Coturnix japonica: one gene and its partners. The protein of the gene in region 2 purifies or fractionates together with the protein of the main gene of each other region. This does not show direct contact. Links are inferred from orthologs where the notes say so. Each region holds a gene or a part of one and is shown on either strand. Other genes may lie near its edges.

Region 1 (9,900 bases), on a different chromosome or scaffold from region 2:
CTGGGGTGGGCTTACCTTGTTCAGGCTTAATCTTTGCTTCCTTCCTGTCCTTCCATCTGCTGTGTATTTTTAACCTACTGCTTCAGAGGCATCCTGCACACATTCTTCCTTAGCCTCCTTTTGCCCTTCCTGCCTCATTTTGTCTACCAGCTTGGGGTGCAGGAGCGTGTCTTGCAGCTGGCATCTCATACTGTTCACTTTCTGCACTGCCTTCCAGCAGCTGGGATGCACTGTCCCAGACTTAGGCACGGTTATGGCCTGTAAGAGATCAGGGGTAACTCACTGCAGGTTTCTGATGCAGTCCAGATCAATGTTGTATGCAGATCTAGTGTAAGGAATCTCAAATGCTGTTTTCACAACAGCAGTAGAGCAAGACTCAGAGGGGACTCTCTGCCCCCTGTGCTGCCTAGTGTCATGCAAGGAATAATTAAGCCAGCTGAGCTCCAGCTTGGCTTAGGCAATTATTCACTTCCTACCTACTTCCACAAGTGCTTCCCCCCATTCTCTGCATTTTGGGACGGGCTTTTTCTGCTTGATCCACAGTACAAAAGAAGCAATAAGGAAACTCCTCCCTATTCCTTATTCTAACCACTTCAGACGCTGCCAGTTTGCTGCAGGGTACAAATTATCATAAGCTCAGGGAGCTCCCTTACCTAGAGAGGTTTCAGCAGATTTCATATGCTAGCAACTATCAGGGTAGGTGCCCATTCCTCTGCAACAAGCATTCTGCAAAGTACAGCTGTTCCAAAGTACCTGTCCATGTGGTTTCTTTTGCTCTCCTCTCAGCTCAGGTAGGCTGGTTATCTGTTAAATAGGAAGAGATTGGGTGAATGCAGAGGAAATCAAACAGTTTCCTATTTGTTTATCCTGGCCAAAAGCTTGTTTAGCTGGTCTGCATATTGCTAGCAGGCTAGCCCAGCTGCTGTGGTTAGTGCAAAGCTGAGCTCTTCCACTAGCATGAAGGGAAAACGTAGTAAAGCCAAGTCTCTGGGGGGAAGGGAAAAAAAGAGTCCCCCCCACACCCTTCTTTGGAAGTTTGTAGACAAATCAGAGCAGGGTGGGCTGGGAGATTTCACTATGGGTTGTAAGGCTTTGATGTGTGAAGGTGGCAACCAAATGCTGCTCTTTGGTCTAAAGAAGGAGATGCATTCTGGCACCTTTGCCAGCACAGAGGGTTACATTCCTCCTAGTACAGGGCCCTGCAACAACCTCCCCCCAGCAGGTCTCTTATGTTGCTACAAAGCAAAGCCACCTTGGGACCGAGGTTAGAAGGTGACAGGCATTTGCATAGTTCAGTATTTTCTGTATTTTATAGGGGATAAAACCTGCAGATGGCCTGGAAACAATACAGTCAAATGGTTATCAGTTTTACTAGTGCAGCCTGGCACAGGGATTAAATACTTCTGCCTGCTTTCCAGAGCAGTGCTGCCTGTTAAACAGCTTTTATACTGGCCTTTTTTTTCTCCCTTGGCTGGGGAGTGTGCTACTGTGTGTGCTCTTCTCCAGGTCTGCTCTGTGCATCCTCTGCCCAAGATCTCTTCTCCAGGCAGGTTGAGGCACAGCTTGGTCCCCACCACGTGCACATAGAACTGCTACTGCCACCATCTGGTGGGAGAGCAGCATAGCTGCCGACCCCATCCCTTCTTCAGTTTGCATTCGTTTTGCTCTTTGGAAAAGCTAATCTCATGTGCCCTGCTGAGCACTCTTTTTCAGAGTGAGACTGTCACATCCACTGACCTTGGTGAAAGAAACGAAGCTACACAACAAAAGGAGAAGTGGCAGGGAATAAATCAGGATCACTCCCAGACAAAATCTGCTCTGTCTTTCCAGCTGTCACAATTCATAAATAGCAAAGCCACTACACAGCCAAGGTATCCTCCTTCCCTTAGCTAACACCTGAGAAAACACTGGCTTGACTGAAGAGCCACTCTTCCTCAGCATCTGTTCCACAGTTCAAGGACCTGCAACTTTGTAACAGGCAGCATAAAGGCACTAAATATTGGAGCAACACATGGTACAAGCACTGTGATGTTCGGAGGTCACTGGGCCACTTATATGTGCCCAGAGACCAACAGAAGAAAGCTCCTTTGCACCGACTTTTCAGGAAGATTGAGTTCTCAAACCTAGCTTAATTAATTGGTCAGTGAAGCCACTACTCTGACAATACATGGAAAGCACACAGGTTTGTTCTGAAGCATGTTCAGTTTTATTAAAGAATCCTAAATCAGTTGAATTTTCATTTTCTCTGCTTTACCCAATCAGGAAAATGCAATGATTTTTCTGCAAAGAGCTGAACTGGCAGGTAAAGGTGATCGGATTAGCTGTGGCTGCAGAGCCAGGTTCACTGCGGCAACTGGAGGAGAACAGACTGTCCAGAGGGCAAGTAGGTGATGTTGCGAGACCTTGAAAGCTGGTAAGCAATATCTTCAGCTGCCTCCAGCTTGCGTAGCTCAATTAAGCCATCACCTGCAGTAGCTAGCGAGTTGGCAATCAGCTCAGCTGCTTTGGAGTCTCCCTCAGCTGAGATAACAGCTGCTTTCTTCTGCTGCTCAGCCTGCAAGAAAACAGGTGAGAAGAAAAATGAGCAGAAAAGGAAACAGAAGGAAGATGCTACAGGCAAGCTTTAAGTATAAATTCCCCCTTCACCACTCTATTGTTCTTTCCTTCAGAAGACTTAAGAGAGCTAAACCAGGTGGTTGTATGTTAAAGCTGTGCATATACACATATATACACAAACACATATTTGCCTATTGTGGAGGGGATGTTTAAAAATCGACTTGAAATTGTCTTATCTTAACCTCATGAAACAGCAGCTCGCCTAAGGGCACTCCTGGTGGACAGCTGTCTAGAGAAGATTTGAGCACTGAACTATATTAGCATTATGATTCTGAGTGACACCTGTCATATACCTGCCTGGTTTCCTGGGCAGGTGACTAAAGTATTCACTGTGAGAAGAAATGACTGAGATACCAGGAACTACTTCCAAGCTAAAGTTTCTCAAAAGAATAAAGTACCTTTTCCACAATGAACCTGGCTCGCTCTGCTTCTTGCTGGGCCACTTGCTTCATTTCAACTGCTTCGGTGAATTCCTTACCAAAGGTCAGATGGGTCTGCAAGGCAGAAATCACAGTCCACAACAGCATTTACAGCAACACTGCTACCAACAGCACATGTCTAAGGCAGGAGGCGTTTTGCCTTTATCAGAGAAGATGGAAAGTCAGTATCGCTAAAAAAAAGAATGCAGTGTAACAGAAACTAAACCTAGCAAGCTTTCCATCCTTTTAAAAAACAAAGTCTATAGGTGGCCAGTGACACAACCAACTACTTTGACTTGAGCTGTAACCACTGCATCATGTGCAACTGCAAACAAACAGGGTCCACATACACAAGCTTTCACACCTCTTCTCCGATCCTCTACCAATTTTCTTCCCTATTTGCACAGGGAGAAAAACTGAAAGGGAACTCTTACCAAGGACACATCATCCAGAATGAGGCCAAAAGTTGCTGCTCTCTCTGTGAGGTCTTCGCTCACTTGCCTGGAGACCAGTTCTCTTTGAGTGATCAATTCTCCAGCATCAAAGCGAGCCTGAAGTCAGGATGGACAACAGTGAGAAGAAAGCTCTCAGATGCTCTACTTGTCACCCAACTTGATGAAAATAAAGCCAAGTAGTTAAAACGACAGAGAAGCAATCAGCATAGATACAGTTTTAACTCTTCTGTATTGCACATTAGAGCCAAGGGGTATAAAGAGAAGCCTCATTTTAGAGCTTCACATTTTCCACAATTCAGCACGTCTCATTAGTGCTAAAACAAAAGAGAAGCGACAGGTTGACCCCAGCATTTGTGCTGTTCTTACCACAACAGATTTGAGGATTTCAGTTGTGATGGAGGGCAGGACACGCTCATCATAGTCCTCCCCAATACTTGTGAAGATCCGGGGTAGCTGCGCAGTCACGGGTCTGAACAGGATACGCAGCGTGATGTTCACATTCTGTAGATCTGCAGAAACAGGCACAAATTTAGCATTAAACCTTATGGGCAGGAGATATACTGAAGCTGTCCCCTCCAGAGGAAAGCAAAATAAGACAAACATTCAGACTTCTAACAAAGGAAAGGTTTGTAGTATTTCATTAACCAAGGACTATATTTCACATAGGGATCCAAATCCTCCTTACAGATTAAACTGAAGCTTCAGTTTGTCTGTAATGCAGGGAATTACCCTACAGTAAACACAGACTTTTTATTTAAAGGATAAGTATCAAACTATTCCTGACTGCTAAACTCTACACTCATAGAATCTCCATGTTCAGAGATAAAACCCTCATTCCTATAGTCCTCTAGCACGTTAATGATCATAAGTGTCTTCAAAAAGCTTTTTCTCATGCCTCTGCCCACCCAGCTCCAAAGCAGCAGAAGAGTGAGACACACACAGTGCACATCAGAGTGCCTGGATCTTATAGAGCTGCCCAGTCCCAAACCTCACCTTTGCTGCCAGTAATGACAGGTATGTTACGTGGGCGAGAACGGCAATCAAAAATGATCGGTTTCTGTACCCAGGGGATGAGGAAATGAGTTCCTTCTCCTACCACCGTATCCTGGACTCCACGGAATCGATCAAAGATAACAGCTCTGTGTCCTGCATCAACTGGAAAAGAAAACAACATAGATTCAGTAGCATCATGAGTTATATCTGCACAGCAGCAAAACTTCCATAGGGACAGTCTATGGAGGTTAGTTAAGGCTTTTTGCTATGTAAAAATGGCAAAGCTATTAATATTCTTAGGAATAACAAATCAAAAGAGAATACTCATCCATTACCACTGAGCCCTCAGCCTGCTCACAAGAGAGTTGTGTTGAAAAAGCCTGAATTCCTCCTACTTATGCAATGCACAAGGTACAAAACAGCCCTGAAAGAGGCTTTATCACTGTCTTCCCCAGATACCACAAGCAATAAAAGCACAGAGCAGCCAGATAATAAGGACATAAAGAGAACTGGAAACACTCAGCCTGTCCCACTCACCATTATATAGAGCAGAATTGACGACTCCACCTGCAACAGCCAACCCCAGGCCGAACTTCCCAATGCTCTCAAACACTTTGGCAGCCATTTCTCACGTGCTGTTCTAACCCCTTTATGATGAACCTCCTGCAAAAAAAAAATCCCATAACTTCGGTAAAACTATAGGAAACGAGAAAACCAGGCAGCCCTAGTGTGTACCTAGAGCTGGGATGGAACCCCAATCCAAAAAGCCCACCATGAAATGGGATCATTCATTATAATAGCAATTTCTTTGCCCCTCAGCAGCCATACAGGCCTCTCCACTCCCCCCCCCCTTATCACCTTGGACTCTGAACCCAAGACCCCACATCCCCCCCTTCCCCCCCCCCAAAACCCCTCGAGGAACCCCACACCTCGAACCCCCTTTAATTCCCCATTCTCCCCCCCTCCCTCCTCCCACCCACGTTTCCCGAGGCCTCTGACTCTCAGGACACAGACCTGGCGGGTGAAGGCCTCGTTCGTACCCTCAGCCCCCAGCTCAGCTCCAATACCCCAAGACCCTCCGCCCCCTCCCACCCCACTCTCCTCCCGCAGCTCCCCTGACCTCCACATGAATCCTCGGCCTCCCACCCTACCGCGCATGCGTGCAACCTCAACACGCCCTCTCCCTATTGGCCCGCGCTTTCCACGAGGCATTCTGGGACTTGTAGTTCTTCGTTGTTATTGTAGTTACAGGGTAGGACACAACTCCCAGCGAGCTTCGCGGCGGTACCACATGCTGAGCAAGGCTGCTTCCTATTGGTTGTTTAGCTCGCTGATAGCAATGAGCCTCTGGGCCTGCAACCCCAGAGCCGGGCAGGCCCAGGCAGAGGAAGGAGCTTAATGCTTAACACAGACCATTGACATTGAGGCGCAGTGCTATTTTATTTAGCTCTTAGCTTTAGCTGACATGGCTCCTTGTGCTGTACACAGGCGGTGCTTTGCTCTGCTTGTTGTGGTCTGTGGTCCTCACCATTGCTGCATGTACTGAATAGCCTATAGATGCAAAGGGAAATTACTTTGGCTTCTAAACAGATGGATCTCAGCTCTTTGAGGCAGCTCCTTACCGTGAAGCGATTGGGCAGCCTGGCACTTGGGTTGGACGCTTGATGACTCGGGCAGCAGCAACGATACGGCTGAGGCTCTATAATAGGAACAAGGTAGAGCTGAGTAGAGCCCAGCCCGGCTCTCAGCCCTTCCTTTAACCCCAGGGCCGCTTTCTGCTCACCGGGAGGCAATGCCTGCGTCGGGCTGTTATCAATACCGTGCCTCGTATCCATTCTAGAGCAGCCCGCGGACTGCAAAGTACATATGGGGCTATAAGAGCCGCCCTAGCTCCGTTCCCCAGCCCTTCCCTCGCTCTACACACACCCGTATTAACGCGGCCCTGCGCCGCTCCAGCGCGGCCTGCCTTCGCCTCGCCTCCCAGTGCAAGGCCGACATGGCGGCGGCAAGCGTCGCCTAGCAACGGCCACTTCCGGCACCCCCCAGCGCTGATTGGATCCGGACAGAGCCGCTCTAGCTCTCTATCCTCTCTATGATCAGCTTGACTTCCGGTGCTTCCCGGATGCGGAAGTGGCTCCTGGTGTGTGGGGTGGGGGTGGGGGAAAGATGGCGGACCTGGCGGCTTTAGAGGAGCTCGCCAAGCTCGAGTATTTATCGCTGGTCTCTAAGGTCTGCACCGAGCTTGACAACCACCTGGGTATCAACGATAAGGATCTGGGTGAGTGAGGTGGGGTGATAGCTGTGGGGAGGTTGTAACCGGGCCTGACGGCCATGATGCCTTCAACGAAAGGCCTTTGGAATTGAGAAGAATAAAATATATCTCTAAAAGAAATATTATAAAACGTTTAGATGTGAGCGCCTAGAAGGGGATGCTGCTGTTCTGTAGGTAGATGGATCGATCTGGGTGCTGCCCTTGAACACCTTGGAGGTGTTCGAGACCAGGTTGGACAGGGCCCTGGGCAACCTGATCTATGGGATCTATGGGGTCTCTGTGGGGATCTATGGGGTCCATGGGGTCTCTATGGGGATCTATGGGGTCCATGGGGTCTATGGGGATCTATGGGGTCTCTATGGGGATCTATGGGGTCTCCTGGGCAACCTGATCTAGTAAATGTGTATGTTTGGTGGCCCTGCCAGGCAGGGGGGTTGGAACTACATGATCCTTGAGGTCCCTTCCAACCCGGGTCATTCTGTGATTCTGTGTGATTCTGTGCCCTTGTGCTATTTGATTCACTTTGTGCTCTTTCTTTGTAGCCGAATTTGTGATCAGCCTCGCCGAGAAAAACACGACGTTTGACACGTTTAAAGCCGTTCTGCTAAAGAATGGGGCTGAGTTCACAGTAAGTGAGATCTGAATGTGTTCTGTGTGTTCCTTTATCAAAGGGAGATATAGGGATTGGCTATACTGCAGGGCTATGCAATATTCAGCCTTTCAATCTTTGCCCTGTTGTTTACCCCCATATTGTGCTTTGTAATAATGACCAAAAGTGATGCTATCACCTCTTACATCTTAAACCTTCTATTCTGTTTGCAGGATTCCCTTATCAGCAACTTGTTGCGTCTCATACAAACGATGCGGCCTCCATCAAAACCATCTGCGAGTAAAGGTGAGTGAAGTCTTTTCTTTTCCCTTCCATCAGTTCAGTTAAAAAGAAACAAACCCAACCAAACTGTGCTCTCGAATCCTTTGCAGTTTGTGTCTTGTGTTTGCTGAGGGCAATATATTTAATATTCTAAAATAATAAGATCCGTATTAACCTCTATATGTGGCTGAAAGTTTAACATTCAATTTCAGAAAGGCTGAGATGAAATCATTTTGACTCTTACAAACTATCTGTTTGTTTTGTTCATCTCCAAATCAGAGGCCGTTACCAAACCCAAATCGGAAAAGGAAAGATTGAAGGAATTATTTCCAGCCCTTTGCAGGCCAGACAATCCCAACGTTAGGGTAAGGTCATCATTTCAGTTTCCTTTAATGAGTGTGTGAAAATGTAGTTTGTGGCTCTTTTGGTGTCTCTATTTCAGGTTTTTCTTCACGTTAGCATTTATATCTCCAGCCAAAGCGTGGATAAGAGCAGACTGAGAATTAAAACATCAATGAGCCCAAAGGCTGATATTATTGGATGTAATCCTTAGGAATAACTGTTACCAATAGTTACTTCTACAAACTTATATTCTGTAACTCAATAGTAATTTGAGGTGCTGGGTTGAAGGGATCCTTTATGTAGAAGCAGAATTGGTCCACTAATGTGGCAAAATAGCTTTATTACATTTAATATTTGTTCTTATCATGTATTCTGCCTGATCTTTTCTTTTAAGTTTGTGTTTCTGAATAGAAATGCATGAGATGATTTTTTGTAGGTGAATTCTCTGTGATGGATTTTTATCTCAGCTGTCTTATAGGATGATTCTCTGTTTTTGCAGACTATGCTGGATGAAGATGATGTGAAAGTGGCAGCAGATGCACTTAAAGAACTTGAAGCTCTGATGCCTAGTGCAGACAAGCAAAGCAAACAAAGGAGCAGTGACCACCGGTATGTTATTAGTTCATTTTTAAGGGACTGGATATTGGCAGTTAATGTCTACTTGCTCTTGTCGAATTTCAGTGTTAATATATTTTGTTTGTTTGTTAAGGGCAAAGAAAAAGAAAAGAAGCCGAAGCAGGAGCAGGGACAGGAAACGAAGGCACAGATCTCGCTCTAGGTCTCGTTCCAGGACTCGGGATAGGAACAGAGGTAAATCCAGATACTACTCGAGGAGCAGGAGTCGAAGTAGGGACCGTAGGGATCGAGACAAGTATATTGAGAAGAGCAATGAGAGATGGAGAGACAAGCACGTAGACCGTCCGCCACCTGAGGAGCCTTCCATTGGAGACATTTACAATGGGAAAGTCACCAGTATAATGCAGTTTGGGTGCTTCGTGCAGCTGGAAGGACTGAGGTATGTTATAATATTTACAATAAATCTGGTACCATTTTATCTCTACTTTTTTCTGTTGGGGTCTTAAAGAGGTTATGATGCTACAGTAGAGACTGTTAACTATTTTTACAAAGAACAGTGAACATCCACAGACAATCAGCTCACAACAAAATATTTTAATCCAGACTCTGAATGATCTGAAAGACCATCTGAGTAATAATGTTCAATGTCTCATGTTTTACCTACAGGAAGCGTTGGGAGGGCTTGGTCCACATCTCTGAGCTTCGAAGAGAAGGACGTGTTGCCAATGTTGCTGATGTTGTGAGCAAAGGACAAAGAGTGAAGGTCAAAGTGTTATCCTTTACTGGATCCAAAACGAGCCTGAGCATGAAGGTATGGAATTGTCACATCACACAGGATGTGGAATCCATTGTGTGGTGCCTAGTGTAGAAATTATGGGATGCTAAGATGTTTACAGTTTACGTTTCTTTTTGTTATCTTGTTACTGAATACTAACACGTAACCCTTCAAGTCAGATACAACTGTAACTCATTTTTAAGTGACTCATTATCTTCATTATATTCATTTTCTTTGGGTTCTTTTGTGTGTGTTTCTGATGTAATAATCCAAATAGGTGTTTTTGATTTGACACTCATCTGAATGACTGACGAAACTTTAAGCTGTTGCTATGCTTGCCCAGATGCAACGTAGATAGAGCTGACTAATTAATCTATCTGATGTAGGATGTTGATCAAGACACTGGGGAAGACTTGAATCCAAACCGGAGGAGAAATTTGGTTGGAGAAACCAATGAAGAAACCTCTATGAGAAACCCAGACAGACCCAGTCACCTGTCCTTGGTGAATGCCCCGGAGGTGGAGGATGATACCCTGGAAAGGAAACGCCTCACCCGAATTTCAGACCCAGAGAAATGGGAA
Region 2 (9,213 bases):
TATTAGAAAATAATCCATATTTTGCATATCCAATAAAAAAAGTAGTAGACATTTCAGAGTACCAACATAACAAGGATATGCAAAACGTTTTTTCCCCCGTTTTGCATCAATTTCTCTGTGGACTACTGAAATAATTCCAAGTTAAATTCTAGCTTTATAACAGAAAACTTGCCTGCAGTATGGATTTCAACCAGCATCTCTTACAAACTTCACTGCAGGCAACATTTAAATACTACTTGTTTTATTAGTAACTGCTTGGATTCCCAGTCTAGCTCTTGCAAGACTTTTGGATTAGTCATCTTCTTTTGTACTAACATACATGCTCAGAAACTGAAAAGCAGCTCTGTTTAGCATAACCCTTTTTGTTAGAATCATACTTACAGAGATAGAAGCGTTGGAATCCAACTTGTATTTAGCTGCAATTCCAAAGCGAGTGCTGTTGCTACCAGCTGTCCATGCCAGGTTTACGGCAGTTTCAAGACTGTCACTCACTTTCTGGTAAATTGAACCACCAAATTCCGAACCATCATTGCTGCATAGATGAAAAATACAACTTCTTATATCTACATAAACTCACTCTTTTTTTTAAGAAGCAGTTCAAATTTCTAGTTAAGTAAGAATTTAGAAAGTTTGTTTCCCACTTTTAGACTGGATAAGGGAAGATGAAAATGAAATTCTTATATCATGCTTTGTAGCTTTCCCCATCTCAACTTCCACGAAACCAGACAGAACAATCCCCATTCAAAAGAAAATCCATCTCAAAATCAAGTTATGACCTAAACAAACATACTAAAACAATGTATTAGATTACAGTGAAGTATCACGTTCTTCAGATTTTAGTCAGCTTGCTCTAAAGAACACCCAAAGTCTCTAACTACAGCAATTTGAAGCAAGTTCAGAATGAACTTCAGTTCATTCACACTCCAGTTGTACTCTAGGCATTTTATGCACTCATCCCATCAATACAGGAAGATGAACTTACTCAAAAAGCAGAACTATTTTTGTTCCAGAAACTGCTTCTGGCCCACTTAAATAGTGCAGCACTAATTGCTACCCCTAACAAATGGACTGCCTCCTAAATTAGTCAGATACAGCTCAACACATGGGGAAAGCTGGATAAAGTCTTTCAACCAGCTCTGCATAACGAGCTTATCAAGCTTCCAAGTATCTGGTAAACTGTAGCATGTAAATCTTAACAAGTCATTATTTAGTGTATTCAGCATTCTGAAAAAGAGACAAAGTAGTATTTATTTACAAAGTTTGATATTACAAAAACTCATGCTGCTGATGTGCCTTGCAAGCACATCTTGGTAGTTTAAACGTGTATATAGAAGGAAGGCAGAAAAAAACCTGCTTTTGTAGAACAGGACACAATTACCAGTACTTACACGTTGGTGTGAAGTTGGAAATCTCCAGTCTTGTAACCCACAGAGAAGTTATTCCTTGTCAATTTTGATTTGGCACTATCAAAAGTCATTTGATAGCCCGCTAGCCATCCTTCATAACCAAAGACAGCTGAACCATGGATTGCAGGCCCAGCAAAATCAAAGTCAACATCACAACCTAGGTTTAGGCATTCACGTTTATATGCTGACTTAATTTTACCACTTTTCTTTCTGAAATAGAGAAACGGTTAAGACAGTTTGGTTATTCTCAATGAGAAGACAAATTTGAGCCACATGCCTCAACAGAATGCACCTAAATGCCATGCATATATATCCAAAAGACTGATCCAAATCACAGGTAACTCAAACTATTAAAAAAAAAAAATCATACCATAGATGCGTTGTGATGAAGGTAGAAACACATTCACATCTCCTGCAATAGTCCAACTAAATATTTCTATCTCAGAAATCAAGAGAAACAGACAGTTGAAGTGTCCAATACTAAGCCCCCAGGATAAGATCCAGTGTGGAAAAGCAGAAGTCTTTAGCACGGGGGTTTGCTAATTTGGACCAATAACAAACATCTGCTGATCTGACACACCAGATGGAACATTTACCAACCACATGTGTAGCATGATACACAAGGTAAAAAGGCAAAAAAAATCTTACCCTGTATTTGGTGAGAAAGTTGTATCAAATGTCAACTTCAAGCCTTTGGCAATCTAAACGAAGAATGAGAAAATAAAGCTATAAATTCAGTCCTGCTAGTTAAGTGAAAGAAAGGAATACTCAGCTAATCTATTACCTGATCTTCAATTGCAATTTCTGTTCCCAGAGTGTTATCTGTGTTCCATTTTTCTGTGAAAGTCAGCCCATACTCAGCCCACTTGTATTTGGTCTCCAAGCTTCCATTCACTTTTCCAGTATCTGTGTTCGATGAACCAGATGTTGTGAATTCCTAGAAAGGACAGTGACTGTGTTATACCAAATAAATATGTGATCCTGAAAGCTTTACAAAGTGACAGAAGAGAAAGACCTTTCTTCACTGAAGATCCTGTTCTATATAACATCAGATAATTCAGGGGACAGCAATGTAACATGGATTAGAAGAACCAGATGACTCACATCCACATTACAGACTTCTCCCTTCTCACCCTCCATCTCAAATGCAGTGTGTACTGCTATTACAAAATAGAGGTTTATAATGCAACTCAAAAGCAATACAAAAGCATTCTTCTCAAAAAGAAGAAAAAAGCTTTCCAAAATAAGGTTAAGTCTGGTACTGTTGAGGGCGGGGAAAAAAGAAAAATCAAACCAAACAAGGAGTCTTTAATATAAGTTTATGCACATTCTCTTCCTGGGAAGGAGGTGTTGTAACTGAAATGGGATTCACACAAGAGCTTGAATTTTGCAGTAAGTTTTAGCAGGATAACCACTAGACCTTGACAGAAACAAATGGAAAAAGGACTACATCTATAATAGGACCCTCACAAACAGTGTTTCTTCTGGAATGCAGCCCTCTACAAATAAATAGCACATAACCCACACACCTTGTATTTATACAGCCAGTTACACAGTTAAAACTTCCTGCTCTTGGGGGGCGGAATCTACCTTTACATCTTGCAAAGTCTGCTATAGAAACAGATGGAAGTTGCAGGAGATACTGCTTGCATTACCAAGATATCTACCACGGAACATAACAGCATTTGAATACCTTTTAAAGGAAATGCACAGCGCTGTTTCACTACCAACTACTTCACACATGGAGTAAGATGTCAAAAATTTAGACAAAGTTGCATGTTAAACAGCAAAAATGGTGTCAAATACTTGTTTAGGCTTATCATGAGGGAAAGCTAAGAAACCATTTTATTTTACAAAGATTAAGACAGCTTTTTTGTTGTTTTTTGTGATATTTGTAATAGTGGTATTATATTCAAAGTGAAGTCAGAGCTTTAGGTGCTCCTGAAATTTTCATTAATAGCATTAATATAACCTACAAGCTACTTGATGGTATCTGGAAAGTGCTCACATATAATTAAACAAGCATGCAAACATTCAGCCCCCAGAAATACAATGAAAAAGTACTTAAACTCACCACTCCACTTGCAGATTTTGTCTTCACATCCAGTTTCACCAGTCCAAACCCTTAATAAACAGAAGTTACATTTTAAAAGTTAAGCTTTAACTAAGACTATGCAGATTTTCCATGGTGTCGGTTTTCCAACATGTGCACGTATATATACACACATATAAGCATACACATAAAAAACCTAGCATAGGCTGGTTTTAATGCTTGAATTTCAAATGCTAAAGCAGTAGAGGTCATTTTAAGAACAAACTAGGAGTTCTGTCTGTCATCACTAAAGAATTAGCAAGGAATAGCCTCTCTTGTATATCGTACTTATTACTAACAAAAGATGGCTTCCAAGAGTAAACTTAGTGACAGACAGAGTACATTCTCTTGTTCCCTGGATGGCACCTACTCTGTACTCAATGCCATTTAAAGAGCAACCCTATTGCATTAAGTCAGCACTAAGGTCTCAAAGAAAAAGTCTGAATGGGGAGTCACGAGGAAATACACAGCCACCGGAACATAAGGACTATGGGAGAATAATTTCATTTTCTTACACTCCAACTTGAGTGATAACCCTGGTGAATGAGCTCCTGCAATAATTCCTAAAGACCTGAAATAAACAGCACTGCAACTAAGCACTTGTTTATTTTTAAACTACGCAACTGCCTACTTAAAAACTTCAGAGAATTCTTTCAGGCTACTCTTTCCTCTTCTGTTCCAAAAAAGAAAACACCCCAACAACAAAACCACACTAAAGTTACATTGGTATATATACATTTGTGTATCAACAAATGCATTTGCACAAAGATCCATAAAGGAAGTGCAAATATAGTCCTAAGCTGTGTAACAGTGGATGTTTCTAACCTTGCACACTGTCACAGCTCTTTCCTTAACATTAATGGGATTAATGCAGTAAGGTTTAACAGACCTCATATCAAAATAGCTCACAAAAAAGCCTCCGCTGGCTCATTAGCTGATAGAAATGTTTTAAATGAAGCATACTCTCCTCCCTTCCGAGAAGCACAGGCATTTGAGCACTCACTGAACTCCACATACATGCTAAACTAAGTCAATTAATTGCTGCAGCGCACTCAATACACTACATTGACTCACCATATCCTTTGTTGAAGACATCTCTGGCAGATTTGCCAAGGTCTGCGTATGATGGAGGAACCGCCATTGAACCTGAAAGGTAATGGTGTAATTACAATTCAATCTTTTACTACACACACATACAAAAATGCTACCACAAGAGTTAATGGTGTTCTTTAAGGCAGATTCATACATCAGGGTATTTACCAGTCGACAGATAGTTCAATTACATTACGTTGTGAAAAATCTACAGATTTTCTGATAATCGTGAACACTGAACATTTTCTTGGCTCAGGTAGCCCATTTATTGTCAAGGGGCCACCACAGAAATCTTTATTTTTCAAATAGTTTTATTCCTTACATCTTTAATTATCACAAACCAACTGAACGTTCACTGAAAACCAAGGAGTGAGAAATATGGAAAGCTGCACTGGTAGATGTTTCTGTAAGTTTTACAAAGTCAGGTGCTTATGGAAGTTATCTGAGAAGACCCATAATGTTTCATTTTCAATATGAGAAAGTGTGCGTATTTGTTTTGCAACATCACTTCCCCCGTATTTAAAATGGTCAAGATAAGATTTGGAAAGGATCTTCAAAGGCTGTTAACCAGCAATTATTCAGATGAAGATCTTTCCTCCTACACAGGGCAAGAGTTTAAGTCCTGGGGCAAAGGTGGGAAGGGTGAGCACCTTGTTAGCTTAGCAAGTCATACAAGCGAGAAAGGGAAATGGACTTCTAAGGAGAGCTCTTCTCAGACAGAGCTTCTGGCAAACTCAGTGTTCAAGAACCTGTCATTCACGTCCAGATCTGACCCAGCTTCCCTGGCCTGCTGGATGCCAGTCTAAGGTCCCACACAGATCTGCACGACGCTCCTCCTCCCTGAAAGGATACTCGCCATCCATACCTTCCTTTGGTGACTACTATCCTTCTATTTCAATACTAAAATGCCAATATTAGAGGCAGCCTATTCCGAATTTTAAAATAGAGAAAACAGAACATATTTCGCAAAGATGGTGATTTCCCCAAAAGGGTCACAAAAACAAAGGGGAAAACACTAACACTAGCTAAGAAAGCATCATAAAAAAGCCTCCACAATCAAAAAATCCTTCCTTTAAAAATTGCCTAAACAAAAATTTAAAAATCTTATTTTAAAATTAATTGGTCACACGTGCTTTTCTGGAAGACAGATGAACATAATTCACTATCTCATTCCTCTGTGGGTTTTGTTTCAAAAAACACCTTCAGATTCTAAAACAAAGATCATACTCTTGTATATTAATTTTCAACTGAACACGCTTTCCATTCTTATAAAGCACTTTTAACCAGATTTCAATTATCATCCTCTGACTATAGAATTATTCACCTCCTGCAGATCTCTACAAGTTCAGTACATTAGTCACATGGGATCAAAGCAGGCTCTTCCCTCCCAGCACTCCCCCATTTTTTTTTAATTAAAAGTCTGTATTTTCTGGCCTTACCAACAAAACAAGAAAACTTGCTTGAAAACACCTGTCCCAGAATTATTTCCAAGGGCACCATTCCACTAAAGCAGACTGCTTAACTACAGCATCCACAAATAATATACACTGATTATAACTGCTATGTGCAGCTTAACTGTATGAACTAATACTATTTTAAAAACATTTATTGTACAAAAAAGGTCTTGTGCCTTAACATTGGTTTCCTATAATCTACTACAGTTTTTCCAGGTGCCTCTCTCCATCTTCCTAAAGCCCAAAAGGAAAAATTCAACTGCATCATCGCAAAATCATCCAGGCTTAGCTTAGTTTGAAAGAAAAACCAAGAACCTCTTCAGCAAGAAACGCTAAACTCTACACAGAAGTCAGTAAAGGAATCAACCCAGCACCTGCTGGGGAGTATAAAACAAATCCGTTCTTGCGAGGAGTAAACTCTTAAAAAAATAAATAATAATATAAGCCTAAGGAAAAGATGATTCAATAGCAGAAACAGATGTGAGTCCCAGTGATGAGACAAAATGGTTTCTATGATTTATTCAATAAAAAGTAACAGAAGCAGGACAAAACTTGAAGAAAGTGTGGGAGCACTGGTCTTCTCTCACTCCAAATCCCTGGTGTCCAGTTCATTAGTAGCTTAAAAGGGCTTTGAGAAGTTTCAGCTATGTACTCTTCCTCTGAGTAGGTCCAACTACCGTCTCCAGAAGAATAATTATTACTAGTTCAGAAGTATCAAAATGCATGTCTGTGCTTAAGGCTACTACATATAAAAATATATGACTGTATGTATAAACTTCTTTCATCTTTAATGTTCCCAAGCTGACTAGATATTCATCATAGACAAGAGATTTATGCTAAGGCCCTAAAGTTTAAAAAATAATATTTTTAATTGCCTGTAACTAAATGTGTGGAATTACTGCAATAAAAGGATACTGCTGTTTTTATCAGGCCAAGTTAAGCATCCTCCCTACTGCAGGAAACTGACTAATCCTTGTCAGCCATTCCAGCCTACAGGCCCAGGTTTCCTGATAAGGAGTTAAAACAGCTTATGACCTTCACGTTGCTGTTTCAATTCATACGCTGACAGGGACACAAGAGGAAAAAGCAGATGTTATTTGGGGGTACATAAAACACCCCGTAAGCCGGGGTCACCACCAGAAAGCTCTTTAAAGGCCAAAATATATCAATTCTGTTTCTTCCAGTGTTGAAAAATTCACTAGATTTGCAAATCCTTATGATGAGAAGCAATTTTATTCGAGCATGTTTTGAAGCGTCTTTCATCTTCTTACTAATTAGAAGCACCTAAAATAAAGCTACAATTTAATTACAAGCCTGTTGTGACAGTAGATATCAAATATCCTAATTTCAGGAACATAGAAAATACTTATTTCAGGTAAGCATCCCACTTTTTCTTTTTATCCCCCTTTCTATATAGACCTAAAAGAAATAATCTGCTACTTAAATATACTTTCTTCCAAAGCAAAAAGAAAATGAAATGCCAAGATGTGTGAAGGCTGTCACAAGTATTACATCACAGCTTTCTTTCGAGGCAATACTTGGAAAGAGCCCCACACTTAGTAATTAAGGTATGCCAGTGGCTTCAATAACCATTTCCAGACCTCAGGACATTGAGGATCAGCCTAGAGGGCACAGAATTAGGAACAAAATACTTAAGTATTATGTATTAAAATATATAATATTTTTATTATATAAACTTTTATATATACTTTTAAACGGCAACAACTAAAGTGAAATTGTATCCTATCATTGAAAATAGCAATAAACCGATACTGAAAATACCGTTAAAAACATGTCCGATCTAACGCTGACCTCCTTTACGCTTACGGAGCTACTAAACGAGAACTACTACCCTCGCTGTAACTACCTCCCTACTTACACCTCGACGCCTGGCACGCGGACGACGTAGCCATAGCTAGGCCAATGCACAGACTCTACGGAGAAGGGAGAGAGAGTCAAACAGCGCTCGGTTCGCTCCGTGCTCACAAAACCGAAGCAGCGCGGATCCCCTCTCGCTACGGGCCGGGCCGCGCGGCGCCCGCTGCCGCCGCAAGGTGAACGCTCCGCGCGGCCATCTTGGGCCTCGCGCCTGACCCCCGGCGCTACGGCCGCCCCTTATGTAACCGCAGCCCGGGCACGGCCGAGGCCATCGCGGGCGGCGGAGCGTCCCGACCCCGTCCCGATCCCCCCACACCCCGTCCCTCCCGACCGCCCCCAGCGGGACAACGAGGAACGCGGCCCCGGCCCCGCTCACCGCCCTTCGCTCGCGCCCCACCCGCCTCCCCCGGCACCGCGGGACGAGCCCAGCCCCGGGCCGGCACCTGGCGAGCGCGAGAGAGCGGCGGGGCCGGGCGGAGCGGGACCGGGGGCGCGGGCGGGTCTGGCCGTGAGGAGGCCGCGCTGCTGCAGCCGCTGGCACTGGAGGGCGAAGTGAAGGAGACACCGATCCGCCCGCCCGCCGCCGCCCCGCAGGACCCCGGTCAGAAGGGGCCGTCCCGCGAGGTGCCCGTCCCCACGGAGCGCCCCGCGCGCCCGTCCGCCCGACCCGAGAGACCCCCAGCGCGGGCACACACGGGAACACAAGGCTCCAGCCGTGAGAAACGCCGTACCCTCAGCGCGGAGCCGGGATGGAGCGACGTGGGCCGGCAGGCGCTAATTCCGGCAGCCCCAGAGGCGGAGACGGGTCCTCGTGAGAGGGCGGGGCCTGCGCGGGAGGGCGGCAACGGCCGCGCCTGGAACCCGCGACGCGTCCGCCGCTCAGCAGAGCGGGTGCGGCCCTGCAGCGCGCGGGGCGGAGCGAGGCCTCGGGCGGCTCCTCAGTCCAGCGGCCCGCACGAGGGAAGACCCGTACACCGGGTGCAGGCCCTGCGAGCCGCCCGCCTAACTCAAGTAGAAACTTCCGCCCCGTAACGGTCACCAGCCACAGCACAAGTGGGCACAGGCCCAGCCTCCTTAAAAGTACTCAGTCAGAACCCGTCAGAAAAGTGAAAGCGAGTCAAATCATATTCGAATCACATGAAATACACGTTAACAAGCACTACTGGTTTCCTCCAACACATGGTACGGCAGCCGTTTTCTTTTTTTTTTCAGCCGTTACTAAAGCAGGCTGACCGGCAGTAAATTCCAACTGCCCATCAGCATCTAGTTCTGTTTTAGGTTGGATGTTAGG
Region 3 (9,952 bases), on a different chromosome or scaffold from region 2:
GGAAACATTGTTTTTAATGATTACAGGATAATGCATTCATTCTTGAACACGAGTACTGAGCACAAAATACATGAAACTCGCTGAAAAGGAGCTGAATGGGACTTTAGCTATTCTTCCTCCATTCGTGGCTTCTTCCTTTTCTCCTCTAAGGTTTAGCAGATGTGCTCTGAGAAGCTTCTTCCCTCCATTGAGCTTTCTTCTCCAAATTAATGCTTGTAAGAGATTCGTGCCTTTTTATTGCCTACAAAATAAGGACAAAGCATGAGTAGAAAGCGTCACCTAAAGGACCACGCAGATGAATTGCTTACAAGATATCTTGCCTATCCTCACCAAGGCAATAACTGGAAAAGAGAGGGTTAAAATTGAGCATCCAGATAATTTTAGTTTCAACTCATTTCTCTGGGAACAAGTTAAGCCCTTCTGTTAATAGCCCAAGCAGATGTATTCTGTGCTTATGGTCAGTATTTAGTTCTAATCTCATCTTCAGAAGTACTGCAAACAAAAAATTAAATATAATAGACTACAGCTGCTGTGAAAACTGAGGTCCCAAAGGAGTTGTCCTCTTTTCCAGTGTTCGTGTTCATACTCTGAGAGAAGAACTTATGGGAATTGTTAGTCTTTGATTTCTTCTGCTGACACCAAGGAGAAACCTTTCCACTGATTCATCTCAGTGCTGCATCCTTTTGTATTTTGAGAAGTGAATGCAGACAAGTAGAAGTGTTAGCACTTCAATGATTTACAGGGCTGGCATTGAGACTCAGTTTTAAAGTCATTACCTAAAAATGTTGTCAACGGAAAGAAGAGTGAAACATTGTAATCAGCAGAATGGCTTTAGGGAAAGGCAGCCTAGGAGTAGAGAGAGGATGGTTGCTCAGTGTCTACAGCACTTGGGGGCTTTCCTATTAAATATTCAGCTTTTTCAATTAAACAATAATTGAAAAAAAATAAATGTACTATTAAGAGTAAAAGGAGACTTTTCTAATGCAATTAAAGAGCACAGAATTAGTGCTTGCCCTACCTCACCACTGTTTAAAGACTTTGACAATTCTCAGTCTGGGTGAAGAAATGCTCCTATTTGCTGTTGCAGTGCATAGAGGGGTACAGTGATTTGTAATAGTTTGCCACGCGATTAACTGCATGGATCCTTTTGGACCAAGGAACATTTACCCATCTACCAGATTAACAACAGAAAACTACTTTTCCTTTCAAACTCTTGCAGCCTGTCAGCAAAACTGAGGAGTTAAAGCAGCGCAAGATAAGATTAAGTATTTTGCTGGGGTGGGAAGGCCATGGGAGAAAAAGACTGCTTTAGTACATACAGTCTAACAGTGATATCACCCTTTTCTGGCCTGGGAATTAATCAGTGAGCATTACTTTCTGGGGAACTGGAAGGACAAACAGCTCTAAGAATCCAAAGGAGGAACTGAGGAATTTATGTTAAGATGCGTTTGTACTCACCAGCCAAAAATTTACACTTACCTGCTTCCCTCTGATCACCATCACTATGCACCCCACTATTGTCAAGGCGATCATTACGTAGCTGAACTTCACCCGCAGTGTGGTCTGTGCTGCTCGGATTGCGTCAAGCCTCAAGAAGTAATAAAAGAACAGACTCGTTACTGGAAGATCATTCTACCAAATCTTAATTACAGGAAATGGAAAGTTTGTATTATGAGAAGGACCAATGAAGTGTAACACATCCTTTCCATACTAACCATCGACCTGCTCCTATATATTTAACTCTTCTTGCAGAACTTAGAGTGGATGATTCCCTTCTTAAGGAAGTCTAATATGCTCACTGATTAAATTTAGCATACTATGAAATTATAGGTGAATTGAAAAGCATCAACATTATGGCACAAAATAATTATATCCAAAGACTAACATAGATAATGGAATTAACAGGACTGGGATACTAACACTTTACACTAACATGACTGAATGTGGAATCCTGCATCATGTTTTAACCCATGACGTGAGGATGGTTTGACATGGTAAGTCATGTAGGACATAAAAACTGAAAAGCTTTTGGTCTTTCCTTTGGAGGGGAGTACAAGAGTGGTTTGATCACCATTGCAGAGTACTGAGCTGAAGAAAAAGCTCATGCTAGTATTTGCAAAGATCTTTTTTGATTGGATGAATAAAAATTAATGGACGTGATGTCTTACTAATGAAACAACTGACAGACACTGGTCATCCCTTCAGGAAAAATCTAAATGATTTACATCTAAATCAGCTCAGCAATCCAGAATTCTCCAGGTCACGTAACCTCATCTACAAGATGATACAATTACAGCAGCTGTAGAAACCCATTTTCCTTCAGAAAAGGTATTTTGGATTTGCATTCAGATAACTTATTCCTGTGCAGGCAATGGCACTTTCTCAGCTTTGAAACTGGCACTTACGAGACGACCTCCGGTATATCCTCTGGCTTCTTGAAATGACCTGCCCACAGCAAACATTTCTTCTCCCACTCTGTAGGCTTGTGTCCAGGCACCCGCAAAACAGGCCGACCTACAATAAAAGCAGCCAACCGGCCAAAAAAGACAATCAGAAAAGCTGAATCCCTAACTGGTTAGATTGAGTAATGCAGAATTTTATGTACAATTCCTAGCGTTGGTTACAGAACAAAAAGGTTATCGCATGGTCAGATTAATAAACCTCTGAACATGGATTAAACTGAGGGTTGATTAGATGGGAAAGCCAAATCTCGTTCACAATCTCTCTTCTGCAGCTCTAAATTTGCATCTAAGCTTCCTAAACTGTGACATTAGAGCCTTCCTACTACTTTTGCGTTAGTTGAAAGAAAACAAATGGAACTGCTATAGAAAAGCCAACATCCTGTTCCGTAGCATCAAAGAATTTTAAGCTTTCCGGGGAGTCAGGAATGTTTTATTTGTAGGTATTTGTCTAAACAACCAGGTGATCATAAGCAAAGACCAGATCCTTAATTTTCATCTCAGGCTTTCAACCTCCATAAACAAAATGCTCAAAATCACAGAATCACCAAGGTTGGAAAAGACCTACAAGATCACCCAGTCCAACCATCCACCCATCGCCAATAGCTCTCACTGAACCATGGCCCTCAACACAACATCCAAACGTTCCTTGAACATCTCCAGGGTCGGTGCCTCCACCACCTCCCTGGGCAGCCCATTCCACTGCCTGACCATCTTTCAGATAAGGAAAGGAACAGAGAGCAACACAAAAGAGTTATTATGTCACTGTACAAAAACACAACTCTGAAAAGCGTGTGAAACAGTGGGCCTTTGTCTCAAAAACAGTCAAATTTCCTAAGGGCGATCACAGGTGTGGAGCAGCTGCCATAGAACAAACACTGTATGACACCAAAACCCATCAACTTGGAAAAGCACCAACTGAGTTCCCCTCCGGCACAACAGAGGGCACCAGCACTGTAAGTGATGCTGTGAACGTGGGCCACAATGGCACCGCTTTGGAGAGAGCACTGAATGAAGAACAGAGGAAAAACAGCATATGACAGATTCAAAAACAAATATAAGGAGTAGATACTTTCTCACAGTGCTGTTGAACTGAAGAATCCCTTCCCAGAGGATGTGGGTGCTAAAAATAGTTTCAACCTCAGAATACTTCACAAATTTACAGAACAAAAATCCAACAAGGACCATTAAACACCAAGACTCTGTCTCTGGGAAGCAGCGTAGGGAACACTCCCCCTCAGATCCTTGCTATGCATCACCATTCCTTTTAGTCCCTACAAAAACACAAGGGTCACCCCCTTTATTATCCATTACTGGAGACATAACGATGTTAAAGAGATTCTTGATCTTACCCCGGTACAGATGAGGGGTTTTTCATTGCTTCACACCTGTACACTCCTTTGATCCAGCGTCAACAACTCAAGGAGGGGACCAGTAACAAGAAACAGCAAGAAACGTAGCATGGCCTTTATCACAAGCTCACCTCTTGGCTGAACTGGACTTTCCTCCTGGGGCTTGCTGCAGAGCCTCCTGCTCACCTTCGGCCCCACTCCCCGACTCATCCTCAGAAAGCAGGGAATGTTTCTTTCCAGCAGCTTCACAGCCTTCTCTGAAGAGCAAGCAGAGGAAACACAACGGGTAGGTCTAACTCAGAAGGTGAAGCAGTGAGGAGGTTGGCTTTTAGGTAGGAGGTTGTTCCCCCCCCCCCCCCCGCACAGCCCCAAGAGAAAACAAGAACAGTAGGTACAAATCTACTGCTATGAAAGAAACTACAGATATAATAATCCGTGAAATCTAATAAAGATGACTGCACGAACCATCCGAATCTAATAAAGAAATTAAAGTCAATTTTACAAATCCTAAAATATATCACTCGAGTTTAAGCATATATAGAGTAACAAGAGTGAGCGATCACAGCCCACGAGCGGGTTCTCCTGCAGAAGACATAACATCACGTCAAGGAACCTATCTACTCGGACACAGGCGAGAAAGCAAAACAAAACAAAAAACTGGAAGATAAAAGGGTACTTAAAATAAATTGCCCTTAAGGGTACTTGAAATAAATTCAAGCAGCGTTCAAGGTCTTCAGATGATCAGCAACAACGAGGCACTGCAGCCCGTTCCTTTCCCGTCTGTGTCTCAGCCCGGAGGCCCCTCACCTCCCGTGCTGCGGGGCCGCGCCGGGTCCAGGACCCCTCGGAGGCTCCGAGCTCCACATTACGCGTCCCCCGGCCCAAAGGGAGGACGGACGGACAGACACCCACTCAGCCCTGGCAGCTCGGCTCCCCACCACTCACCCGCTCGGCCCCACATGCCGCCGCTCTCGGCCCAGCCCTGCACAGCTCCCCTCAATGTCACCGCTCCGCAGCGCTCCGCCCCGGCCCGGCGATTGGAGGGGGGCGGCGGGAGGCCCGTTCTCCCCGCGGCTCGACGGCGACCTCCGGCAGCTCCAGCCCCACTCCAACCCCAGGCAGGGCCCGCCCGGCCCCGCTTGGCCCCGCCTTTCCCCCCCGATTGGCCGCCGCTTCGCCCTCGGCCTTTCCAGTATGGCGGCGCCCAGCAGCGGGGTGAGCTGCGAGGACTTCGCTGAGTTCCAGGTAGCGCCGCTGACGGGATCGCGCTGCGGGGCGGCGGGGCCGAGCCCGGGGCGCTGTGCGGGGCTGCGGGCTGCTGTGAGCTGCGGTACTGCGAGACCGCCCGGCCGCTGTGCCCTCGGGGCCCCCCTTCCTTGTCCCGTCCGCCCGCCCGCCCTTCGGTAGCACCCTCACCGTGCACATGGGGGCTCCGGCCTTCCCTGCCTCGCAGCCGGGAGCAGGATGAGCTGCCCCAGCGCTGCCCTGCCCGCCGGGAGAGCCTGTGCCATAGGGCTCGTAGCTAAACGTGACCGGGCTGCACAGCTTCATGGAGTAAGGCTGCGTGTGGGAGCCCGTGGGCTGCTCCAAGTGTGGTGGCTCAGCTCGGTCTGTGGGCGCTGCTCTCAATACTATGAGTCCTCCTAGAGGCCTGCTGCTTCCACATGGAGCAGGTTGGGGCTGCAGCCTTCCTGATCCTTGAGGTCCCTTCCAACCCAGGTCATTCTGTGATTCTGTGGGCTCTGCAGGACAATTCTCTTGGGTAAAACAGTTTGTTTTTGAAATTTGTTTTTATTTAATGCAGGAGTTGCTCAGGGTGATGAGGACGATCGATGACAGAATCGTCCATGAATTAAACACTACAATTCCTACAGCCTCCTTTGTAGGGAAAGTTGACGCCAGCCAGACATGTAAAGAGCTCTATGAGTCCGTAAGTGTCTGTTCCTTTAACTTCTGCTCACCTATGGAGATTTTCCAGTGCGTGGTGCCCACTAAAGTGCTCAAAAATACTTGCTTGTATGTCATCTGCATGCGTATCTTTAACTTTTACCATCAGACCAAGTTAGTACCTACTGCTTAAAGCAGTGTTGCTTCTAACATATGGATTATGGAGACAAAGGGAGTTCTGTAGGCACAACAATACTTTGATTCAATAAAGTTTCTTTAATTTGATGTCTGACCTACTTGTGACTTTCCCTCTTCCCACTTAGCTGATGGAAGCTCACACCAGCCGAGAGAGAATCATCAAAAACTGCATTGCTCAGACTTCCAGTGTAGTGAAAACTCTCAGAGAAGAGAGGGAAAAGGCACAGGATGATGTAGCGTTATTAAAGCAACTCAGGAAAGAGCAGACAAAGGTGAGTGGTGGAGATCTTGAGAGGTCACTTAGATGGGGGTTGTCTTCCAGTATGGAAAGATCTCCTTGGTGGAGAGAACCTGAAGGGGATGCTGACTTCACAGAATGCAATTTTTTGTGTTGGAAGGGATCTTTAAAAGGCCATCTAGTCCAAATCACCTGCAATGAACAGAGATATCTACAACTCAGTCAGGGCGATGTCCACCCTGATTTCCAGTGTCTCCGGGGTCGGGGCATCTCTGGACAACCTGTTGTAGTGCTTTATCACTCATTGCAAAAAAAGATTTTCCTTGTATCCAGTCTAAGTCTGCCCTCTTGTAGTTTGAAATCATTTCCTCTTGTCCTGCTACAACAGATGCTGCTGAAGAGTCTGTTCCCTTCTTTCTTATAGCCCCCTTTAGATACTGAAAGGCCACCCTTCACCAGGCTGAACAACCCCAGTTTAGGCAGTGGAACTCAGGCAGTGTTGCCTCTGTTCTTATCGGCTGGATTTGTGAGAACCATAAGAACAGAACAGAACTGCTTTTATCCTGTATATGGCACGTCTTCTGAAATTCCACTACCGAGATGTACTTTAAACTTTGCTGACAAACGTCTCTTAGAAGGACGTAACTATTTACTCTCTTCAACATGTCTGGAGGTTTCTTTTGCCTTTTTGAGTTCTTGTGAAAAATAGTGCGACTGCAGATGGTGGCTGTAGGTGCCGAGGTACGATCACTAGAAGATAATGAAGTGTTCTTTACATTTATCTCTTGTACCATACAGCTGTGCTGCCTTAAAGCCATCCTTCTTCACCATTAGCCTGAGAAGCATCTTATTCGTTGTATTAATCAAGGTTCCTGTCCACTTTGAGGAGCTGCCAGGAAGCTTTGAATTCCAGTTAAGCAATTTTTGTTGTTGTTGTTGTTAGTATTTAGTTTAGCTTGTGTGAGAGGGACTTCTGGATTTGCACAAGGGATTGTAATGTGCAGAGCCCCAGCCTCGTAGCCTCTGGATGAAAGGTGTTCTTCACCAGAGGTGAGCTAGATGGCATAGCAGAGGTTTGAAAGAGCATTTCTTTCCAGAGCAGTGATATGCATTTGAACTTCCTGGAGGGATGACTGGAACTCAAGGGGTGAGTGTCCATCGTTTGATATTTCCAGGCGTTGAATGAACTATTTGACATTCGCTTTTGGAGAAGTGCTCTGATGCCAACTCATATTTGAAGAACCAAGTGTCAGGCAAGTGGTTTTGCCCTTAAAGTCTTAACTTTCAGAACTTAAAATGAGCATCCACCCATTACTTCTGTACTCAGCTCTAGTGAGGCTGCACCTTGAGTACGATGTTCTGTTTTGGCTCCCTCGCTATGAGAGAGACATTGAGTCTCTGGAGCATGTCCAGGGAAGGACAATGAAACTGGTGAAGGATCTGGAACACAGGTCTTAAGAAGAGAGGCTGAGGGAACTGGGACTTTTTAGTCTGGAGAAGAGGAGCCTCAGTGGAGAGAGAAGCTCTCCACAGCTACCTGAGAGGAGGTTGTAGTGAGGTGGGGCTCAGCCTCTTCCCCCACGTGACTAGCGACAGAATGAGAAGGAATGGCCTCAAGTTGTGCTAGGGGATGCTCAGCTTGGGTGCTAGGAGAAATTCCTCCCAAAGAGTGGTCAGGCACTGGAATGGGCTGTCCAGGAAGGTGGTTGAGTCACCATCCTTGGAGGTGTTCAAGGAACACGTAGCTGTTGTACTAAGGGCCGTAGTTTAGTGGGGAAATGTTGGTGATAGGTGGATGGTTGGACTGGGTGATCTTGGAGGTCTTGAATTGATTGATTCAGTGATACTTTGGGAAAGCTAGTATGATAGCTTAGAATTTTCTGCAAGTTTTGTTTGCAGTCAGTTCTTTAAATCACTTTGTTTCTGAGCTTATCACTAAAACCAACGAGAAGGTTGCAGTGATGTTTAATAACTACAGGTTATCATCCATAATTGGTGAACATCTCAGAAATCCTTCAGTCAAGTGACCTCAAATTTACACTTCCCCCCCCACCCCCTCCCTTTTTCCTTTCCTTCTCCAGGAGTTCAGTTTTGTTGTTGGTTCTGTTTTTTAGGTAATTTCTCTTGACAGCGCATTTCCTATTTTAAGACTATGCCTTTCAAATACATTTTTATTTGCTTTCAATACAGATCTATTTTACTCTTTATTATTTGTGCTTCTCTCATACTGCTAGTGATACAAACTGGGGGACTTCCTATAAAATTATACCTTCTTGATCTTAATTCTAAATCAGAAATCTATGATTTTCCCCTAATTCTGTTGCTAACTATCTTGTTTGACTCCAGTAATATGTGAGTGGAAGACTGAGAACTCAAGGCTACAAAGCTAAGCACAGCACTGCTATCCCTGGTGCTGAGTGCTATTCAACCACAAGTAATATTTGTCTGTGGAAACATTAAGGCTGATCAGTTCATTCTATCAAATCCTGACAGGAGATATTTAAGACTGAATTAATAACCAGTAGTAACTTGTGCCCCTTGCAGACTTCCTTAACCTGCCCAAAATATTGGCTGAATGGAAGGACCAGGCTTTCAGGATGATTAAGTTCAGTTTGCACCTGGTACTGGGTTTTTCTCACAGAAGTTGCAGAGGTAGCGAGTACTGATGGCTGCAAGGAACATCTTGACAATAACCTCTTTGTTTGTCTGTTATTTTTTTACAGTTGAAATTGATGCAGTCGGAGCTGAATGTTGAAGAAGTGGTAAATGACAGAAGCTGGAAGGTAATTCATCATTTTAGAAAGCAATGTAGCTCTGTGCCATGGGTTTGTGCTGTCCTGCCCTAGAGCTGTGGGACAAATGCTTATGAGGCAGGTTAACTAGGAACAGTGTGGGCAGTGCTTGGGCAAGTGTTTCAGGTCAGTCATTTCAGGGCTTTCAGTCAGATTTCAGGGCTTTTCAGAGGCACTGTTAAGGAAAGAAATGAGGCTGATCTAGTAGGGAAGAAGGACTGTAGAATGCTCCCCACATAGATCCCCTTCTCAGCCCTACTCAGTGGCTAGGGACTTGGTAAGCATGTCTGTTCTGCAGGCCTGGATGGATGATCCCAGTGTGCAGGGCAGTCCTGCTGTTGCTTTCTGGTGTCGCCTTCTGGATCTATGGCTCCAGATGCTTTACTCCTTTCTTAATCTCAGCTTTAGAATTTGAGACCTAGGTTTGTTTCATCAGGGTAAATGGAATAAACTTAATGTCTTCTGTGTTCTTGGAGGTCATCACCATAATAGAGCCTGATGGAGGCTAAATGAATGTTTACATGTTTTCCCACTCAGTCTCTGTACTGTTTGGAAAAGCTTATAATGCCCTTAATTAATTAGTCATGCCCTTAAGCTTAATTAATTTTGAGCTAGCTTGAATATGACTAAGAAATACCATAACTTTAACAACACCAGTGGCAAACATTTCATTGGAGCAGCACTGTTGATTTTACTTTAAAAGGGGGCGGACTTAGCACTAGTACCACTGATTTCCTGTAGCTACATTAAGCTTGTGTTAGTGACAGAAGTGCCTGACTTTTCCTGGGAGCTGGGAATGTTTAGTTGAGAAGCAGTGAGGTACTCACATGGTGCAGAGAGGTTTTAGTTTGCAAGTGTTTAGTGAAGGACTTAGAGAGAAATGTCTGCCTGGGTTTTATTTCCAACTCTACTGTCACCTCCCTCTAAGGCTGAAAAAGTACCTTATGGATTGATCTTCCATGGGCTTCAGAGTTGCTGCCAGTGGCTTAGTAATTGCTGTTGCCTTGGTTTGGTGCTAGGTGGTGC

Evidence for each region.
Region 1: the proteins of VDAC2 (region 2) and PHB purify together in Homo sapiens (affinity purification with mass spectrometry; 4 studies listed by BioGRID, with this or other methods). This does not show direct contact. The link is inferred for Coturnix japonica from reciprocal best matches to the Homo sapiens genes VDAC2 and PHB1.
Region 3: the proteins of VDAC2 (region 2) and FAM162A fractionate together in Homo sapiens (co-fractionation; 3 studies listed by BioGRID and IntAct, with this or other methods). This does not show direct contact. The link is inferred for Coturnix japonica from reciprocal best matches to the Homo sapiens genes VDAC2 and FAM162A.

Annotation. Positions count from the first base shown.
Region 1 is NC_029542.1:2,949,595-2,959,494, reverse strand, and holds PHB (prohibitin), read right to left. Parts: upstream 5,704-9,900; 5' UTR 5,604-5,703; exon of another isoform or gene 5,498-5,603; intron 5,147-5,497; 5' UTR 5,109-5,146; coding exon 5,021-5,108; intron 4,646-5,020; coding exon 4,484-4,645; intron 4,000-4,483; coding exon 3,857-3,999; intron 3,699-3,856; exon of another isoform or gene 3,587-3,698; coding exon 3,470-3,586; exon of another isoform or gene 3,443-3,469; intron 3,111-3,442; coding exon 3,015-3,110; intron 2,555-3,014; coding exon 2,342-2,554; 3' UTR 2,184-2,341; downstream 1-2,183. Other genes in the region: ATP-dependent RNA helicase DHX8, read left to right, coding at 6,650-6,761, 7,298-7,383, 7,578-7,650, 7,906-7,991, 8,468-8,577, 8,678-8,983, 9,211-9,355, 9,706-9,900.
Region 2 is NC_029521.1:12,473,647-12,482,859, forward strand, and holds the start of VDAC2 (voltage-dependent anion-selective channel protein 2), read right to left. Parts: upstream 8,753-9,213; 5' UTR 8,654-8,752; intron 8,499-8,653; exon of another isoform or gene 8,366-8,498; intron 7,979-8,365; 5' UTR 7,958-7,978; coding exon 7,924-7,957; intron 4,645-7,923; coding exon 4,573-4,644; intron 3,531-4,572; coding exon 3,481-3,530; intron 2,344-3,480; coding exon 2,191-2,343; intron 2,108-2,190; coding exon 2,055-2,107; intron 1,617-2,054; coding exon 1,389-1,616; intron 533-1,388; coding exon 382-532; intron 1-381. UniProt on the Homo sapiens protein: Non-selective voltage-gated ion channel that mediates the transport of anions and cations through the mitochondrion outer membrane and plasma membrane.
Region 3 is NC_029516.1:69,174,326-69,184,277, reverse strand, and holds the start of FAM162A (protein FAM162A), read right to left. Parts: upstream 4,811-9,952; 5' UTR 4,773-4,810; coding exon 4,757-4,772; intron 4,069-4,756; coding exon 3,943-4,068; intron 2,515-3,942; coding exon 2,406-2,514; intron 1,589-2,405; coding exon 1,480-1,588; intron 242-1,479; coding exon 146-241; 3' UTR 1-145. Other genes in the region: CCDC58 (coiled-coil domain-containing protein 58), read left to right, coding at 4,811-5,056, 5,616-5,741, 6,022-6,168, 8,858-8,917. UniProt on the Homo sapiens protein: Proposed to be involved in regulation of apoptosis; the exact mechanism may differ between cell types/tissues.